Ovis aries: one gene and its partner. The protein of the gene in region 1 purifies or fractionates together with the protein of each later gene. This does not show direct contact. Links are inferred from orthologs where the notes say so. Each region holds a gene or a part of one and is shown on either strand. Other genes may lie near its edges.

Region 1 (3,747 bases):
GCCGAGATTGGGGGGGCCTGGGGGAGCCTGCTGAGGGTGGCTGAGAGATGGCAGGGATGGCTCAGATGGCAGGCCAGCCTGCGAGAGTACCCTGAGGTCTGCAGCTGCCAAAGAACATTGCGTGAAATGGACCATGTGGAACCTGGAAGGGAGGGGGACGAGGGTGGGTAGGGTTGGGAGGGAGGGGGACGAGGGTGGGTAGGGCTGGGAGGGAGGGGGACGAGGGTGGGTAGGGCTGGAAGGGAGGGGGACGAGGGTGGGTAGGGTGGGGAGGGAGGGGACGAGGGTGGGTAGGGTGGGGAGGGAGGGGACGAGGGTGGGTAGGGTTGGAAGGGAGGGGACGACGGTGGGTAGGGCTGGAAGGGAGGGGGACGAGGGTGGGTAGGGCTGGGAGGGAGGGGGACGAGGGTGGGTAGGGCTGGGAGGGAGGGGACGAGGGTGGGTAGGGTTGGAAGGGAGGGGGACGAGGGTGGGCAGGGTGGGGAGGGAGGGGGACGAGGGTGGGCAGGGTGGGGAGGGAGGGGGACGAGGGTGGGCAGGGTGGGGAGGGAGGGGGACGAGGGTGGGTAGGGTTGGGAGGGAGGGGGACGAGGGTGGGTAGGGCTGGGAGGGAGGGGGACGAGGGTGGGTAGGGCTGGGAGGGAGGGGGACGAGGGTGGGTAGGGCTGGGAGGGAGGGGGACGAGGGTGGGTAGGGCTGGGAGGGAGGGGGACGAGGGTGGGTAGGGTTGGGAGGGAGGGGGACGAGGGTGGGTAGGGTGGGGAGACGTGTCAGGAGGAGGCCACAGAAACCCGCGAAGGGGTGACAATGGACGGAGAGCAGTGGAGAGACTGGGCTGGGGGTGGGCGCTGGGCGGGCCGGGGAGAGGGCTGAGGGCTAAGAGCCAGGCCTCTGCCTGGGCAGCTGGGTGGGGCTGGGGGGAGACTGGGGGAGGGGAACGAGATGAGAGGACACTCCTGGCCTGGCACTGCCACGAGGTCAGTGTCCCCAAGAAACAGAGGCTGGAGGAGGTGGGGGACCACCAAGGCCACACAGCCAGCCCCGGGGAAGGGGAGCAGGGGGGACCCAAGTCTCTCCGCTTTTGCCGGGGGTCTTGCCTCTGTAACTCTCACAGCTCCCTTTTTCTCTTCGCCCACATCCTGCCCCTCACCTGCCTCCCTCCCTTCATGTCCGCATACCAGCACAGTGAGGTGGGAAGAGGGGCATGGAGGGGGTGCAGAGAGCCCTGCTGCTCTGGCCCAGAGAGGGCCTTGCGACACCCACGCCCCGCCTCAGGGCCCAGCCAGCAGGGCTGTGGCTGCTGTTGTTGCACCCCTCGAGTCAGGGCCTGGTAACCAGACCCTCCGGGGGCTCCCAGGCACGAGGGTCTGCCGACACTGAACACAGTCCCTGGACCAGACTGCTCACACCACTGGCTCATGGAATCCTGACCACGACCTTGAGAAAGACCTTGTTGATCCCACCTTCAAGTGAGGGGGCTAAAGCCCGGAAGGGTAGCCAGCTCTGCTCACACAGCTGGGGAGCTGTGGGTGGTGAGTGGCCATGGGGGAATCTGCCCAGCAGCCACCCTCTCTTCATTACACTGATGGCCGAGTGGCCAGGATGACCAACCACCCAGCACACCAACTGTCCTGGTTTTCGCACTGGAAGTCCCATGTCCTTGGACATACCCTTGGTCCTAGGCACATGGGGACAGCTGGTCACCCTCTGCACTCTCCAGAGAGTGGCGGCCACCAGCTTTGCTCACCCTGAGACACGAACCCAGGGTCCCAGGCAGATGGCCAATCAGGCACTTGGCTCATGGTATGCAAATGTCACTGCCCCTCCGGCTGGCTCTGGCCACCCATTTTTGCCTGACTCATTGGAGAGATGGGGCAGAATTGTCTGCCTGGGGCCATTCCACACTCTTGCGCAAATTGGGGAAAGGTGCAGCCTGAGCTGAAATGGCAACCCACTCCAGTACTCTTGCCTGGAAAATCCCATGGATGGAGGAGCCTGATAGGCTGCAGTCCATGGGGTCGCTAGGAGTCAGACATGACTGAGTGACTTCACTTTCACTTTTCACTTTCATGCATTGGAGAAGGAAATGGTAACCCACTCCAGTGTTCTTGCCTGGAGAATCCCAGGGACAGGGGAGCCTGGTGGGCTGCCGTCTGTGGGGTCGCACAGAGTTGGACACGACTGAAGCTGCTTATCAGCAGCAGCAGCAGCAACAGCCTGAGCTGAAAAGCACTGATCGGAGAGAGCGCCTCGGCTGAACTGCTTGCCCCTTTGGGTGGTCTCCTTGTGCACCAGTGAACAACCTGCCCAAATGGACAGAGAGACACAGGAGCAGCAGTGATGGTCCCTAGTTTCAGGAGGAGCATCAGATCCCTAACTGAGCACAGGCAGGGAGACTTGGCCACTGTAAGATTATACTGTATAAAGAGAGGGACACCCACCTGAGAGCAAGAGGTTACCAGCTTACCTGCCTGGGGCACCTGCAGATGGCTGTCCTAAGGCCTCCCACTTGCAAAGGAACGTCCAGCCCAAAAAAACCCTCCCAGTACAGAGTGTGTCAGGTTGGTCCCAGGAAGTGCTTCAGAAAGCTCAGTCTAGTTTCGATTTCGAGAAACCACCTGACCCTGTTTCCTTCTGGGGTTGGCTGCTGCCAAGGCTTCCTGCTCCCCTCCCCGCCCTTGGCTCTGACTGGGGGCGGCTGGGATGGCGGTGGGGAGGATGGCAGCCGCCCAAGGCTGCAGTCTGGCTGATTCTGCTCTGGTTACAGAGCAAGGCAGCGGCGCCAGGGGTGGGTGCTGGGGGAAGGGAGAGGAAGGGCAGCAGGCGTCAGCGGTCAGAAGAGCAGAGGATGGGCGTGGACAGGTTCTGTCTGCATCCAGGGACCCTGGGCTCTTTCACTGCACGCCCATGCCCGTCTCCTGGGTCTCACATGTTGCTGGGGGCAGCGGTAGGGGGGCTGCTCGCTCGGCTCTAAGCACTTGACATGCCTGGCCTGAACATCTCATCCCTCTGGGGCAGGGGCAGAGCCTCTGGGGTGGACTTTGTTCTGCCCCTCCCACACCCACTCCCTTTCCTTCCCTCTGACAGAGAGCCTGCACCTCGATTTCCCCTGGGGAAGCACTCTGGATCTGGCCTGAGTCTGGCAGGTTGGAGACAATGGTGTCAGGGAGGTGTTGTGATCCCAGCCCTCTGAGGGGTCAGTTTTAGACTGCTGGAAGGAGACCCTGTAGGGAGCAGGCGGCCTGGAGGCGCTGATGCCCCTGGTGCCCCCGACTGTGCCCTGAGGAAAGCCCAGCTGAGGATGCAGGTGAGGGCAGAGCTGAGAGAGGGAGGAACCTAGGTCCTGATGCTATGGTTTGAGCACCTGTGTCCCCCTGGCCTGAACTCAAGGCCAAGCCCTGGCTTCAAGGCCAGATGAGGCGTCAACATCCTATTTTGCTTCTGTCTTTTGCATCCCAGGTTCTGGACGAGAGTTATCCCCTAGGAATGTCCCCAGGTCTCTCTAACCTGCTGGCTGTCACCATGGTCGGCTCCTGAGAATCACCCAGGAGTCTCACAAACTCCCAGCGTCCAGATCCACAATCTCTGGGGTGGGGACAGGCGTTGGCCTTAAAGCCTTGCAGGTGGTTCTATGTACAGCCAGGGCTGAGAACCATCAGTAGGGAGACAGAGTTTCCCTGGCAGCTCTTGAGTCCAAGAGAGTGAGCCCTCGGGTCAACCATCCAATGACTATTTGCCCAAAACGTG
Region 2 (3,647 bases), on another chromosome or scaffold:
ATCCTCAATTTAAAAAAGCTGTCAGAATAGATAGAAAAAAACAAAAGCTCGGTACTGTTTATAAGCATTGTACCTTTTAAAACATTACGACAGAGGAAGATTAAAAGTAAAAGGTTAAAAGTAGAAAAAGATATACTGGATAAATACCAATCAGAATTGGGTTGCTACAGCTAGTTCAACATCAGATAAAACAGACTTCAGGATATAATTATCAATAGGGATAAGGAGGCTCTCTACAAAATGATAAAAAGAGTAATTCTGTATCTTCAGTGTATGCATGTAGTTAATAAAATAACCTCAAAGATATCAAATGAAAATCAATAGGGCTGCAAGGGAAAATTGAAAACAATCCACAATTACAATGTGACGTTATCACACATTCGTAAGAGCTGTCTGTTCCTGTGTAACAGATACCCCAAAACCTACTGAATGGAAACAGTTGCTTACTGGCTCCCAACTTTGTGGGCTAGCAGTTTGGGTGGTGCTCAGCTGAGGGGAAAGGCTCATTTCTGCTAGTAGATTAGTGAGTACACAGGAATTGATCCTCATATGTGGCATTTATTTGGTTTGGTGATTTTATTTATAGGTGACCTTATCATTTTTTCCTTTAAAAATGTAAGCATAACTAATCTTACTGGATGTTTGAGGTATGGTTTGGTTTTGTTGTTTACATTTCTACTACATCAGTATCGTTAAAGTACACATTTTCTTTTGTGGGAAAAATTCCTTCCAGCTCCCAAACTGATGAACTTGCCTGCCATTTCTGTCTTAGGAGAAAGATACGAGGGTATGTGAGCATCCGCTCTCAGATATAGTGATTGCAGGGGAAGCTGCTCATCCTTTACCACACACGTTTCACCGCCTACTTCAGACCATCTCCGATCTTATGATGTCTCTCCCCAGTGGCAGTTCATTACAGCAGATGGCCCTGAGGTAATCTTATTTCCAAGTGTCCTAAGTACCCTGGAAAAGTTTTCTGAAGCAGTCAGAGCATGAAATGCTTGAAAGATCTCTTTAAATACTTAAGGTAGAAAGAATCCTGTGTTATATGAATGACCTCCCTCATTATAGTTATAATTTAGAATTGCCCTTCACCTCAGCTCATGCCTGTTGGCCCCTCTGTAAATTGTGGATGGTATACTTCTGAGTCCTCTAAATTGTCACAGTCTGAAACCATCTTCCTCACTTTCCTTTCTCTGCTACCCCAAATCACATGTCTCAGTGCTCCTCAAGAGTAGAAACTTAAATGTTGCAAAAATGGAGAGGGCAATGAAATCTCAAAAACTGAATTCAAAATAGGGTTTTGAATTGAAAAGAATATCAAGAGAAATGCAGCCAATCCTGAAACTACATTGAAGAGTATCTCCTCCTTTTAAGTCCTCACCATTACTTTTACATTGTGAACTTTATCACTAGAACCTCATACTGGACTACACATACAAGTAAATCCTCCACTGATTTTTATAAGAAATAGGTTGACAGAGTGATTTTGTCTACCCACATTCCTAATGATGAGACCAGCAGAGAAGAGATTCTGTAGTGCAAGATTTTAGAAGTACAAAGTGTGTTATACTCTGATGAATTAGTGTAGAATTGTTGGACTAATAAATTTTAAGAGGCTGTTATAGTTGGGATAACACTTGTCTACAAAACTGATTACCTTTTTTGCTTTTATAGCTTTGATCTTCATGTGTCAGTTTGGCTGTATTTAAAATGGATGAACTTTCCTTAGAATTTACATTGTTCAACAGAAATGACGTATATTTCTCCAAAAGACAATAGAAATCATTTTGTTTCTTGAATTTTAAAAATTTCTAATATTGTTATTTTACCTACAGCATTAAGATTAGCTGCAGAGTGCTTTTTTTTTTTTTTTTTTTTTTTAAGGAATTCCTTAGAGGTTCCTGAAAAAGAATTATTTACTATATTACTTACACCTTTTTAGGTGCTGGAGTCTGAAATTCAAGCAGTCTGATCACCAGTTCCTCCATCAGAGCAATGTCTTTCATCACATTAACAATATTTTGTCAAAATCAGATGATGGAGACAGTGAAGAGAGTTTTAGCATCAGCATACAGTCTGGCTTTGAAGCTATGAGTCAGGTCAGTCATCTAACAGTTATCCTGTGTTATCCTGTTAATACTCAACAATGTACTGAAGGAGAAACTGAAAATTACTCCTAAACAACTTGATACTTACTTTTATTTCTATCTCATGTCTGTTTTACTGTTGTGGAAGATTTCCATCTGAGTGTTTCAATTATGTCTATTTGTTTCTGGTAGGAATTGTGCATAGTAATGTGCTTAAAGGACTTAACCAGCATTGTTGACATAAAAACTTCAAGCCGACCTGCCATGATTGGCAGTTTGACGGATGGTTCCACAGAAACCTTTTGGGAGTCAGGCGATGAGGATAAAAACAAAACAAAGAACATCACCATCAACTGTGTAAAAGGCATCAATGCCCGCTATGTATCTATTCATGTGGACAATTCCCGAGATCTTGGGGTAAGAAAGGAAACTTACCTGTGGCTTGTTAGTTCTTGTCAGACCTTTATTAATGATACAGTCTCATTTCTGAGTTTTAGCAAAAAGGCTTTCATCTGGAACTTCACCAACCAAACAACCTATTTATATTTTCAAAATAACTCAAGTCTAAAAACAGATTAATATGACTTGGGGCACTGTGGAATACCCATTTTAAGAAAGGCTCTGATTATAAATATATGAAATCTATAGCTAGGCAAAATAAATATCTACTCCATGATATTTTACCTCCATGCCCTTGTTCAAGTTATTTCCTTGGCCTGGAAGTCCTTCTCTTAAACTCTACCTTTCAGATTCTTCCCAAGTATAAGACCCAGCAGACAAATTCTCCCACAGTACCTCTTCTATAAAAGTTACTCTTTCTCTCCTCTGGATTCTTTTTTACCTTACTCTAGTGGCATTTAATGCAGTTTGACCTATAGCATAATTCGCCTTCAGTTTTTAATCCTTACCCGCACCATCAGAAGGGAGTTGGGGAAAATTCCTGTATTAACATATATAATCAGACTATATATTCCCCCTAGCTCTAGCCTGTCTACATGTTTCAACTGAATTGAGCACTCTTTAACAAAAAGCACTGGAGAAGAAAAAGCATCCTATTTACTTGAGTATTAAAAGCCAATAAGACTGTAAAACCAACTGCTAAATTCCCATGTTTCTATCCCATTCTTGAGAAAGAATACTTTCTAGAATTTTTTCCCTCAGAAAGGAAGTGGCCTGTAGGTACAGTGTTAATAAGTCCCCTTGGGCCATTGCCAAGCTGCTCCTGTCCCATTTGTATATTTCCTTTCCCTGGGAGAGCCAGAGTGGTGGGTTTGGGTCTCAGATGACCTGAATGGAGAATGCCGACCACAGAAGTTTAGTCTGCAGTCAGAGCATTCCCTGCTGTCTACAGTCACCCCACCTTCTGTCCGTCAGCACAGATTGAGTAAGAGAAAGGCTTAGCTACTCTATCACTACATCACTAGCTTATCACCTCTTCAGACCCAAGAGTTCAGTCGGTACAACTTTGTCTTACTTGAAAGTCAGGTATAATAAATCAGAACATTTTTCTGACAGGAACTCACTGCTCAGTACAGTGTTATCTTTGATTCATGTTTT

What was found. The genes of interacting proteins can lie anywhere in the genome.
Region 2: the proteins of LGALS3BP (region 1) and MYCBP2 purify together in Homo sapiens (co-immunoprecipitation; 3 studies listed by BioGRID and IntAct, counting the BioPlex papers as one, with this or other methods). This does not show direct contact. The link is inferred for Ovis aries from reciprocal best matches to the Homo sapiens genes LGALS3BP and MYCBP2.

The regions. Positions count from the first base shown.
Region 1 is NC_056064.1:52,754,887-52,758,633, reverse strand, and holds the start of LGALS3BP (galectin-3-binding protein), read right to left. Parts: upstream 2,603-3,747; 5' UTR 2,442-2,602; intron 1-2,441.
Region 2 is NC_056063.1:52,791,187-52,794,833, reverse strand, and holds part of MYCBP2 (E3 ubiquitin-protein ligase MYCBP2), read left to right. Parts: intron 1-772; coding exon 773-933; intron 934-1,945; coding exon 1,946-2,102; intron 2,103-2,282; coding exon 2,283-2,507; intron 2,508-3,647. UniProt on the Homo sapiens protein: Atypical E3 ubiquitin-protein ligase which specifically mediates ubiquitination of threonine and serine residues on target proteins, instead of ubiquitinating lysine residues.